Drosophila melanogaster: one gene and its partners. The protein of the gene in region 1 purifies or fractionates together with the protein of each later gene. This does not show direct contact. Each region holds a gene or a part of one and is shown in the gene's direction. Other genes may lie near its edges.

Region 1 (4,410 bases):
ACGGTATGGACTTGGCCAGGAAGGTGCGCACCTTCTCCGGCAGGGCGGCCAGCATAGGCGTGTTGAACAAACCCGGTGCAATGGTGCAGATACGTATGCCCTGGGTGCTCAAGTCACGGGCAATGGGCAGGGTCATGCCCACCACGGCTGCCTTGGAGGCGGAGTAGGCCGCCTGGCCGATCTGGCCATCAAAGGCAGCCACCGAGGCGGTGTTCACGATCACGCCGCGCTGTCCATCCTGATTGGGCTCATTGGCGCCCATCAGTCCGGCGGACAGACGGATCACATTGAACGTGCCCACGGTATTGATGTTGATCACCCGCTGGAAGTCTTCCAGGCGGTGCGCCACGTTCTTGTTGAAGTTGAACGTCTTTACCGCGGTGGCTGTGCCCGCACAGTTCACAGTCAGATCCAGACGACCGAACTTATCCTTGGCCGTCTGCAGAGCGGCGCTCACATCCTTCTCGGAGGTCACGTCCACGGGCACGAAGACCACCTTGTCGCCCAGCTCCTTGGCCACCTCGTTGCCCTTGGAGGAGGGCAGATCGGCCAGGATCACGCTGGCGCCCTGCTTGGCCAGGCGCTCGGCGGTGGCGCGGCCCAGTCCAGAGGCTCCTCCGGTCACCAGGGAAACGGCGTTCTGGGGGTGGGAAAGGCATGGGGTTAGAAACTATATATATATGTATATATCCAAGGAAATAGATTCTAAAAATGCACTCCATTCCATTTCATCCCAACTACAACATCAATGTTTAGAGATCTTAACAGAATAAGCATATAGAATGCAAAATATACGATCTGTAGGACTGAGATCCTTATCTTTAACAACATTGAGAAGTTGTCCGTTAAAGTTAGTATAGAAATAGCACGATCCTCAATTTGCAGATAAACTTATAATCCGATGCCGGTTTATCTTATTATTTCGAAAGCAGCTGACCGATGCGTTCGGTGTCCAGTTTCCCGATAAGCCGCATTGTATTATTGTATAACTCGGTGGGGAAGTAATGCTAATTGTTGGCTGGGTACAAGGTACATCGCTGTGGGCAGAGATACAGTTATTTATGGGACTCCATGTTTATAATAGACACGAGTTCACATCCCAATTGGACTTTGCACCCCGGCCGCGCAGTCATCGGCCGCTTTTGCTGCACTAATTCCCGTCTAATCGCAGTGTGATCCTTATTTACAGCACCCCACGTACCTTGATCATTGTTCTGGCTGGTGGCGTTGTGTTGTGGGTGCGAAAGGCGGTGGTTACTTAGTGCTCGGCAAAGCTTTTTAAGCAAAAACTTGTTAAGCGATTCGAAACCGTGCAGTGTGACCGTATGTGCGCCGCTTGAAAATACTGCCTACCGGTTAGGGGGCTCCTATCATTGGCTTAGCTTTTAAATTTTGAGTTTTTTTTTAAATTTAAATTTAAATCAATTTGTTTATTACCAAGCAATTAATTTGCAAGATTTTGAAAGAACTTTTAAATATAAATTACCTCGAGCAGGCAAACAGTGAAGATTTTATTTGGCAAGCTAACTAACTTGGCAACTTATTATTTCAAGAACATGTTTTTGCAACAATTAAGGTGGCAGCATTCAAGTCTTTATAAATGAAATCTTTAGCTATTCAAATTCAATGGCTTAAAACAACTTATGCTATAGATTATTACAGTAAATTTTAGTTATAAGCTATTCATTGTATGAATTCGTATTTAGCTTCCACGCCAAAATGTATGCCGTAGAATTACATATACTCATTTAATTTATTTTATGGTTTATAACTTAAATTAATTTGAACATAAACATTTATGCTTTAAATAAAAACAAAACATTGTTTCTGTTTAATTTAAGATTATTTTCATTTTTAATATTTCTTATTACTTCACTTAATAAATAATAATTAAAAAAAAATATTGCTTATATAAATAAGGAGTATTTTAAATAAATCATAACAAAGTTATATCCGAATTTAATTTATACCCCCAATTTATATACTTTTGTCCTCCGATGTATGGAAGAACATCGATGATTCCTCGAAAAACATCGATGCTTGTGATTGTTTGAAAAGATCGATGATATCGATGATGTCATCGATGTTTCTCCACCTCTAAGTCAGATTGCCTATTGAAATACAAAATAAATGAGTACTTCCTAGAAATCAAATGTTAAAGAACACAATATGTCGCTCGGTGGAGAAAGTAAGCACACGCCAAAGTCTTCCAATCTGAGGCCGTTGGACGACGACCAGCTGGTTAGGATCATCAGCACGCCACGTCCGTCAAATGGTAAAACCCATGCAAACTGCGCGTTTGCCAGAATGCCAGAACCAAGATTCAACTCCACTTTTCCACGCAATATGGCAAGGAGTGAGCCAGCATCCCGCCCAGGACCGCCTCAAGCGCCTGCAGGGCCAACTAAAGCGGGTGCAGGACAACGAGAAGGAGCAGGGGACCACCAAGCGGATCACCCACAGTTCCTCCGCATCTCGTCGATCAAGTGCGTCCACATCTACGCCCCAGCGACTCCTGAAGTTTCCGCCTAAGGTGGCGATGAATGCCTGGGAAAAGCCAAAAGCCCTGGTCGATGCCAATCGCCTGAAGGCGGGACGTACCCAAACTGGTGAGTGCCCGGTGCATATAGTTACTCATATCCCATGTTCTCCTTATCGTCTCCCTAGCCTACCAGCGTCTCATGCTGTTAAGAGCTTCGCTGCAGCAGAAGCAGCTATATGAGGAGCGCAACAACAATATTGTGGCCAAGATCAACGAAGAGGTGATAGAAAAACAACCAGAAGCCTGCAACATCACAAATCCAAGTGCATTTGATGGCTCGACGGCCAGCGATATGGAGGTCGAGCCCATGGAATGGCAGGAGTCTATTGAAGAGGAGGCGGCACAGAATGATCAGGATGAGGCTAAGAAAGGGGACGACACTCTATTGATGCTGCCGGCGGAGTCCATTGAAGAGGAGGCGCCACAGAAAGGTCAGGATGAGGCTAAGGAAGAGGACGACACTATATTGATGCTGCAGGCGGCCGATGCCGAGGAGCTGCCCCCAAGGCTTGAGGATTACATGTACTTTGTGCTGGACACCAACGTCCTCATACACAACCACAAGTTCGTGGAGAGACTGACCGATGTGGTGCTGCCGGGCACGGTGGGCAGCATGCTGTACCTTCCGTACATAGTAATCAAAGAGCTGGACAAGCTAAAGAGCAAGTACCAGTCGGACTGCCTGCAGCGTGTGATTGCCATGCGAGCAATACGCTTTTTGAACACCAAGTTCGACGAAAGCTTTCAAATACAAGGTGGGTCGTGGATTGTGTATGTAAATCGTTGGAACTTACCTATGTGTATTATCTTTGTTGCAGCTCAATCCGCTTTGGAGGAGGCGGATCACCTGATCAAGATCGACTGCCCGGATGACAGCATTTTGAATTGCTGCCTGCAGCTGCAGGCGCAGGTTCCCCACATGATCCTGCTCACCAACGACGCGAACCTTCGGCTCAAGGCCAATGCCTCCAACATTCAGGTCTCCTGTCGCTCTGATCTGATGTCCACCTATGTGGATGAGTTCGCTGGCTTCGGCGATTAACTCGATGCCGTCCGAGCTCCCACCTTACATTTAGTATACGAAAGACTGTGACTGCGTTTGTGATACGGGATCGGGTGGCGGGCGAAAGGGATCGACCAGTCAAGCAAGATGCACCGCGGCATACATGAAGTACAATGAATCTTTATACCCACAAACATCATCTAGCATACATTCAGAGGAAGGCCACTGACGACGTGTTCACCCAAGACTAAAAACTTGCACATATTAGAAGATCAGATTTGACTGCCATTTGCTACGTATAATAAAGTTTGTTTCTGGATATATTTGCCTGGCGATTAGCGTTCTAGAGATAGCCAATCCGCGTGGCCCGGAAGGGCTTCCTCCGATCGAAGATGGCCGGCTCGCTTGTTTGGCTTTAATTAGCCGTACGCTGGAGTTGCCGACTTTGATTGCGCCTTATCGGCTGGGCAAACAAGATCGAAGCAACGGCAGAGGATTCCCCACATCCGCTGGAGTTCACTTGCCCGCTTCGTCGGCCAGATCGAGCTCAAAGCGTACGCAGCGTTCGCCCAGCGCGGTGGTTTCTCTCCTCCCAAACTCACTCCCATGGTGGAAAATTCTGTGCTTTACTCTCGATAGTGACGACTTTATTGCCGCGCGATAACTTAAGCTATACAAAGTGTATGTATTTGGGAGTGTTAAATAGGGTGAATCAATATTTATAGTTGCGAAAGACATGAGGAAAACAACGTGCTCGTAAAATTTTGGGAAATTCCAGTAGCGGAAAGTTTTTCAGTTCATTTAGCGAATAATGCGAATCTCACCCTCCACTTTTATGTACACAAAATCAAATTTAGCATTTAGC
Region 2 (3,924 bases), on another chromosome or scaffold:
CTGATCTAACATATATGAGTCTCAAAGGGTTTCCTTCTATATTTTACTTTCAAACTTTTACTTTTAAACTTTTCAACGAATCTAGTATGCTCTTCACTTTACCTCTTAAAGAATAAGTTATATCATCACAATGTACAATAGTACACTTAAACTAAACAATGTATATAGTATTTGTTTACAACCTTATCTTCTAGTACCGTCTAGTTCACCATGGGAAAAAGCTTTGTCGACTCAAAAGCTGAGCAAATGTTTATATGTATATTGTACATATGTTTGATTGTTTGCTTGATTGCCGATTAAGCTCCCGAGATCTATGAAGAAAATTCGTTAGAACCTAACAATAAGCTTTCAAGAAAATACTTCGCGTACCAGTGTGCTGGATAGCTTAATCCAAAGAAGTATCTTGATCGCCATGCGGCTCACTCTCGCATTATTCAGTTTGGTCCCAATGTTGGCTTATATAGATTCTATTACAACACCTACACATATTGGGCCAGAACGGGGAGTGTCCCATGAGCGTCCTCTACCGCTGATTGCAAACATCAAGGGAATCGGCACATAGTGGATCCCGAATCCCAAAGCCGAGTTCAGAAGAAAGGGCCGCATTTACAGTTACCAACTCCAAGTTGGCTAAAAAGTTAAAAATGAAGATTCTTCGCGATGATTTGACCGACTTCTTCTTGTCGGTGGTTAAACCGGCATTAAGCGGAATGACTTTATGGACCAGTCCTCCGAGCGGAGGACGAAGTAGCAGGCAAGGAGGGTCAAAGTTTGATCTCTCCCACAACTGGACCCTGGAGCAAATGGCTGCCCAGGCCATCGTGTTCTTCTTGGCTGGATTCGAGACCTCCTCCAGTACGATGAGCTCTTGTAAGTACGAACTAGCCCTCCAGCCGGAGATCTAGAATCAAATAAGGGATGAAATAGAAAGGGTTCTGGAAGGAAATGCGATTACTTACGACGCCTTAGCTAAAATTAACTATCCAGAACAGGTCTTGTCTGGTAAGCATGGAAAATTTGATAGCGCAACTTAACTTTTAGAAACTCTTCGAAAACATCCAATTAATTAAATTTTTGCTCGAAACACAAGAAAGCTTTAGGGTCCGCAATACTGAGCTCATCGTTGAGAAGGGAACTTCATTACTGATACCTGTGCACAGTGTTCACTACGATCCGCACTTATATCCACATCCAAAACTCTTCGATTCCAGCCGCCTCAAGGCTTATAAGTCCAACTCCCGCCATCCATTTGCATATCTGCCCTTCGGAACATTTGGACCCCGCAGTTGCATAGGTCTGCGTTTTGGCAAAATGCAGGCCAAGATTGGCATTGTGTCAGCGCTTCAAGTTCGGTGATTCAGACCTAACAGACATCCCCTTAGCTTCGGACACTCGCAGCGCCATAGTGGAACGCATATAGACTCGGAATTTTACTAACTTTGGAAAGTTTAGAATGTACTTGTAAAACTTGTAAATAATCTAATAACGCTTAGCCAGTGAAGTTTTTTAAATTTTCAAATAATAATTGATCTGAAAACTGAACATTAGCAACGCTCTATATATTTTGTTTACAAATCATTTGATTCTCATTTAAAATGACGCAAGATATGTTTATGTATGTTTAGATAACTGCAGTTCTTTGCATATAAGACCGATAGAGAAAGAGAGTCCCCGAAAAGAGAGCGAAGCGAAAGCTTTTCAGACGGCAAATCAAATGTACCCCACTTTTCCACTCAGTTGTTATTCTATCGAGCAGTAGGTACCATGCTGACGCTCCTGGTACTCGTGTTCACCGTCGGACTTCTGCTATATGTCAAGCTACGCTGGCATTACAGCTACTGGAGCAGAAGGGGCGTCGCCGGAGAAAGACCCGTGTACTTCCGCGGCAATATGAGTGGGCTGGGAAGGGACCTTCACTGGACGGATATCAACCTGCGGATCTACCGGAAGTTTCGGGGAGTGGAGCGCTACTGCGGCTACTTCACTTTTATGACCAAGTCGCTGTTTATCATGGATCTGGAACTGATCCGCGATATAATGATCAGGGACTTTTCCAGCTTCGCCGATCGAGGACTCTTCCATAATGTGCGGGACGATCCACTGACCGGGAACCTTCTCTTCCTGGACGGACCGGAGTGGCGCTGGTTGCGCCAGAATTTGACGCAGGTGTTCACCTCCGGCAAGATGAAATTCATGTTCCCCAACATGGTGGAGGTGGGCGAGAAGCTAACGCAGGCGTGTCGCCTCCAGGTCGGCGAGATAGAGGCAAAGGATCTGTGTGCCAGGTTCACCACGGATGTGATCGGCAGCTGTGCCTTCGGCCTCGAGTGTAATAGTCTCCAGGATCCGGAGTCGCAGTTCCGGCGAATGGGCCGATCAGTGACCCAGGAGCCCCTGCATTCGGTGCTCGTCCAGGCCTTTATGTTTGCCCAGCCGGAGTTGGCTAGGAAGCTGCGCTTCAGGCTTTTTCGCCCGGAGGTCAGTGAGTTCTTCTTGGACACGGTACGCCAGACATTGGACTACAGGCGACGGGAGAATATTCATCGCAACGACCTGATCCAACTACTAATGGAATTGGGTGAGGAGGGAGTAAAAGACGCCCTCTCCTTCGAGCAGATTGCGGCCCAGGCATTGGTTTTCTTTTTGGCCGGGTTCGACACCTCCTCCACCACCATGTCCTTCTGCCTGTATGAGCTGGCCCTCAACCCCGATGTCCAAGAAAGGCTACGGGTTGAGGTACTCGCCGTTTTGAAACGCAACAACCAAAAGCTCACGTACGACTCCGTTCAGGAGATGCCCTACCTGGACCAAGTGGTTGCCGAGACGCTTCGCAAGTATCCTATACTGCCTCACTTACTGAGGCGTTCCACCAAGGAGTACCAGATACCGAATAGCAACCTAATCCTGGAGCCGGGATCTAAGATAATAATACCTGTGCATAGTATTCATCACGACCCAGAGCTTTATCCCGATCCAGAAAAGTTTGATCCCAGTCGCTTTGAGCCAGAAGAGATTAAGGCTAGGCATCCTTTCGCCTATTTGCCTTTTGGCGAGGGTCCTCGAAATTGCATAGGCGAGCGTTTTGGTAAACTGCAAGTGAAGGTGGGTCTTGTATACCTTCTAAGGGATTTTAAGTTCAGCAGGTCGGAGAAAACACAGATCCCGCTGAAGTTTTCCAGTCGTAATTTCCTGATATCCACCCAGGAGGGAGTTCATTTGAGGATGGAAGGACTTGAAAGACCATAATAGTTGTTATCTGAAAATGTGTATAATCCTGACAGCGCGAAATATGTATAGGAAAACTCTTATCTACAAAAGACTGCGTTCCAAGATTGCATTAATCCCTACATTATACAAATAAACACAAAGAAACTGTCTAGTATCAAAAAGCTTTTTTTACAATTGAATAATGATAGATAAATAAATAAAAAAGAATTCAATTTTAGAGAGGGAGAGAAACGACTTAAAAATATGTTTTGACTGGAAATTTGAATTCTTAAAAGAAGGTGTCTTTGAATTTAAATATTAACCAATCCGAATTTTAGATGTATGTACATACATATAAAATAAAAGCTTTTAAAAGCCAGTCTTGTATATACTCTCTGTCAGAATACTGTGCTCAAAAGCTTTATAATAATAAAATTTAATTTAGAAATCTTTAATAACAAGGATAGTTTAAAATCTAATTTAGGTTGTCCTAACGTTTGGCAAGCCAAATTATAATAAGATAAGATACATTACAGAACAAAAATATTTCTAAATATTTAGGGAAAACTTTATGTTATGTTTCAAAATAAATAAATAAAGTAATTCAGTTTTCACATGGGAAAAACTTACTCCACATTTACTTAAATTGTGAAATGAAAATTTTATTATCAAATCATAAGTTAAGCATTTATTACAGACATATTATTACATTATTAC
Region 3 (4,297 bases), on another chromosome or scaffold:
GCGGCCAATTTAATATTAAAAAGACAGGAGCCAAGTGGCTGTCCATTGAATTCCCTAACCAATTCAGTGGGTATTACCGGCTGGTAATGATCATTGCTTGATTATTGGAGAGAGCCAAAGGCTGTAAAAAGCCAATTACCAAAACTTTCAAATCGTCTGTGCAGTGTACTGTTAACAGCTTTTTAAAGAAGAGGAAGTTCTGCAGGTTATTTAGTAGGTGTATAAATCAGTAAGAAAAATACACTTTCAATAAAAAATGCTCATTATCTAGCCTTTGGATCGTAATGTCAAAAACGCATACTTAAAAAACCAATTTAAATTTCATTACAACATTAATATTGTATTCATATTATATTGCTCGCCCACCAAAGAGCACCCAATCTTCGGTTTATTAATTAAGTTCCTCGCCATTTTCAATTAAAACGTTTATAGATAATCAATTAATAATTTTCAAGCCGCTTTTCAAGTAACTGGTGGCTACTGGCCGGCTGACTCAGCCGCTCCACGCTCAATTAGGTGCAAAGACATCTCGGCTGGCTGAGCCCGAACCGCAGTGGAGGATTTTCGCAGTTGATCATATTTATTGGCTTTGCGATTAGGCTCGTCGGACTTGCCGATCCGGCGTCTTGCCTCTGGCCTAATTGGGGGATCTAAACTTGAATATTGATGACGGTGTCGGATCGGATCGGATCGGATCGGTTCGGAGGAGAAAAAAACACAACAATCCAAAATGCGATGCAATTGTGGCTGTGCTGGCCGTGTTGTTTGATATTTATCGTACTTAATTTTTCGATGTGTTTGCTGTCTTGGCTATTTTTGGAGAATTTCACGTACGAGACTCATAATTCGTGCGATAATTTACACAAAATTAGGCAACTGTCTAGCCAGCGAACCTTTTAAAGCTATTGGAGCACTCCGATGCGTTTCCCACGCCAATTAGAATTAGTCGTCGGATCGAGCCGAGCTCAATTGAATTTCGAATGGACCTCGAAGTCTGTCAGATAATTGCAAGAGAAAATTGGAAAATTCAATTCACGCTCCGCAAATGGGCCGCAAAATGAAACATCACCTTTTATTCCACTTTGTATTGCCTCTTTTATGACACAGCAGAGCTTCCGCTTATAATTTGTGTTAACAAAACTTTAGCCATAAAACGTCCGAAGTGAAACTCATAAAACGAAATGTGTCGGTGCGGTCAGATATAATTAATGTGAGGCAAGTTTATTCTTTTCTGGCGCTTAATCTTCCCCAAATCTCTGCCTCTGGAAGTTTTTGACTCCCACTCTTTGCCAAAGCAATTAAAAGTCTAATTAGAATGTCATTAGACGGAGGCAAGTGCTAAATGGTCAGGTAGTAGGCAAGTATCGCAATAAATCTAAACTCAGCATCTTGATTAGAAAATATCAAAATAAGTGGTCAATTATAAATGCTTTGCGTAATATCTAATGATTTTGGGCTAAATCTCGTTTCATAACAAATTTTCAATCTAAAATTTAGCTTCCATGATTTTTCTCTCATTTTTTTAATCATTCAAAATTTCTTTCTGGTTTCTCACTTTCGTGAAGTCAAAATTCAAAGTAAACCGCAATGACTACGCATTTCTACTACCCGAACAAGGAGCTGCAGGAAGAACTCATCTGCATATCGAAGGCGTTGGTGGCTCCTGGTAAGGGAATCCTGGCGGCCGACGAGTCCAGTGCAGTGATGGGCAAGCGATTTCAGTTGATCGGTGTGGAGAACACGGAGGAGAATCGCCGGCTATACCGCCAAATGCTATTCACGACCGATCCGAAGATAGCGGAGAATATATCCGGCGTGATATTCTACCATGAAACACTGCATCAGCGTACGGATGACGGACTGCCATTCGTAGAGGCCCTCAGAAAGAAGGGCATCCTGACGGGAATAAAGGTAGACAAGCACTTTTCACCACTCTTCGGCTCCGAGGATGAGTTCACCACCCAGGGTCTGGATGATCTAGCCAATCGATGTGCACAGTACAAGAAGGAGGGCTGCAGCTTTGCCAAGTGGAGGTGCATCCTGAAGATCACTAAGAATACTCCTTCGCCGCAGGCCATTTTGGAAAACGCTAATGTCATGGCCCGGTATGCAGCCATCTGTCAATCGCAGCGACTAGTACCCATCATTAGTCCCGAGGTCCTGGCCACCGGAGATCATGACTTGGATCGGTGTCAGAAGGTCAACGAAATTCTCCTGGCTGGAGTATACAAGGCTCTTAGTGATCACCACGTTTTTCTCGAGGGAACTCTTTTGCAACCCAGCATGGTGATGCCTGGATTGCAGAGCAACAAAAATCATCCGCCAGCGGATATTGGAGTGGCTACAGTTCTCGCCATTAGGCGAAGTGTTCCTCCGGCCGTAATGGGTATGGATGTCTGTAACTAATATATGGGGCTTCTCTAATCTATGCATCCTTTTCTGCAGGAGTACTTTTTTGTGGTGGCGCTCAATCAGAAGAGGAGGCCACGGTCCATTTGAATGCAATTAACAATGTTCCGCTTTGTAAGCCTTGGGCCATGACCTTTGCCTTTGATCGGGCTCTTCAAACATCGATTTTGCGAACTTGGGGTGGCAAGAAGGAGCAGATTAGCCATGCTCAAAATGAACTTATCAAGCGGTGCAGGGTCAGTATAAATAACTAAGAATATAACCTCAAAACTCAAGTATTCTTTTAAAAAATATTTTAGGCCAATGGTCTTGCAAGCATTGGAAAATATGTAATTGGCTCTGTGGAAAGTTCAGCGGCCACTGAAAGACTCATTCAAGAAGCCGTCGAATTCTAAGGAATTCTAATCAGTTAAATAATCAAAATCTTAAATTTAATGGAACCACCTTCGATCTTTGTAGAGTAACAGTTAATTGGTCTGAACAATTTTAATTTTTGTGTTCGTCACAACGTGGGACTAGTATTCTGGAATTCCTAGCGAGTAAAGTGCTCCTTGGTGACTTCTGGCCACCACTTGACCGCAGGCCGTTTATGTGATGCCAGCCAGTCGGGGCGAACAAGTCGAAATATGGTTAACAAGCCTGCAAAGAGCAACATGACTCTTGGAGCGAAGTGTCGGCTTAATCCGCGGAGATTACCAGACGACCGCGCGACACGCAGCTGCGTTCAGAGTTCCAGCTACGCAGCAGCTTAATTAACGCAGGCGCATGCCAAAAACCAAACCGTTGGCCATGTGCAACAGCAACGGCAACAAGAGCAACAACAGCAGCGGCATCAGGGGCAACAACAGCTACAGCAGCAACATCAACAACAACAGCAGCAGCAACAACATAGGCAAGCCCGGGTTGAGTGTTTCGACTTAATCAGGCGGTTCCGAGCCGCTCAAGTCGGTGTCATGTTGTTGGCAAATTAGTCAGACTGCCACCAGGAATCATGGTAAGGTGAGGAGAGGGTTGCACGCAAATAGCAATAATTAAAATTAAAGCAGCCACTAACTTATAGCCTCGCCTTTCGCTGCAAAGTCAGCTCCTCCCAGTTGTCACGCGCAGTATTTTAAAACAAGCAACCAGCCACATTTGCTTCCGAGTGCAAGGACTCAAATGTACTTGGGGAAAATAAGAGTTAATATAGTTAATATAGAAATTCAATAGAATTAAATAAAATATTTTAACTTAACTTACAATATATTTTGATTTGGTTTATACATTTAAATATTTTTGAACACATAGTAAATCAAGATCTGATATAATCCTGGATACGCAGTTCCTCTTTAAGTTTGTGTCGCTTCACCTGCAGATTGTAGCGAAGGTTTGTCGTTAATGCAATCGTCGTGTATCACAGAGCCGCGGGATTGAATCCCCGTGATCCAACACCTCCCCTCGCCCGCACTCGAATTTAATTCTGAGTCCCAATCAGGCCAACGCGTACGACATGTCATGTTAATTGGGCCCCGCATATACGTATACAGCTGCGAGTGTATTCGCCGGTTGTGCATGTGTGTAAATTGCCATTATGCTCATGTTTGCTTAATATGTGGCACACAACACCCACCGAGTTCCGCTCGATTCCAGGCTATAAAGCGGCGGCTATATAGCCATAGCCACTCGACTATAGCAACGGCAGCACGCGACGCGTCAAGCCAATTAAAGCCAAATTATGGCAGCGCTTTTTTAATCACATGCATCGCTCTTCGCCGCTCAGTCGCTCACAATCAGTTACTCGGTTTGGCCGCCTATTCAATCACTCATTCATTCTCTCATTCACTTACTCAATCAGCGGTTTCAATTTGCCGCTGAAGATTTATGGGCGTGCCAGGCGCTAAAGTGGCAT

Evidence for each region.
Region 2: the proteins of Swt1 (region 1) and Cyp6a13 purify together in Drosophila melanogaster (affinity purification with mass spectrometry, with the first as the bait; one large-scale study listed by BioGRID). This does not show direct contact.
Region 3: the proteins of Swt1 (region 1) and Ald2 purify together in Drosophila melanogaster (affinity purification with mass spectrometry, with the first as the bait; one large-scale study listed by BioGRID). This does not show direct contact.

What each region holds. Positions count from the first base shown.
Region 1 is NC_004354.4:18,088,182-18,092,591, reverse strand, and holds Swt1 (Swt1 RNA endoribonuclease), read left to right. Parts: upstream 1-2,082; 5' UTR 2,083-2,169; coding exon 2,170-2,275; intron 2,276-2,354; coding exon 2,355-2,609; coding exon of another isoform or gene 2,610-2,667; coding exon 2,668-3,297; intron 3,298-3,360; coding exon 3,361-3,584; 3' UTR 3,585-3,867; downstream 3,868-4,410. Other genes in the region: scu (scully), read right to left, coding at 1-640, 1,202-1,210.
Region 2 is NT_033778.4:8,568,767-8,572,690, forward strand, and holds Cyp6a13 (cytochrome P450 6a13), read left to right. Parts: upstream 1-1,732; 5' UTR 1,733-1,764; coding exon 1,765-3,246; 3' UTR 3,247-3,381; downstream 3,382-3,924. UniProt on the Drosophila melanogaster protein: May be involved in the metabolism of insect hormones and in the breakdown of synthetic insecticides.
Region 3 is NT_033777.3:26,412,545-26,416,841, forward strand, and holds Ald2 (aldolase 2), read left to right. Parts: upstream 1-1,543; 5' UTR 1,544-1,587; coding exon 1,588-2,386; intron 2,387-2,445; coding exon 2,446-2,645; intron 2,646-2,708; coding exon 2,709-2,804; 3' UTR 2,805-3,648; downstream 3,649-4,297.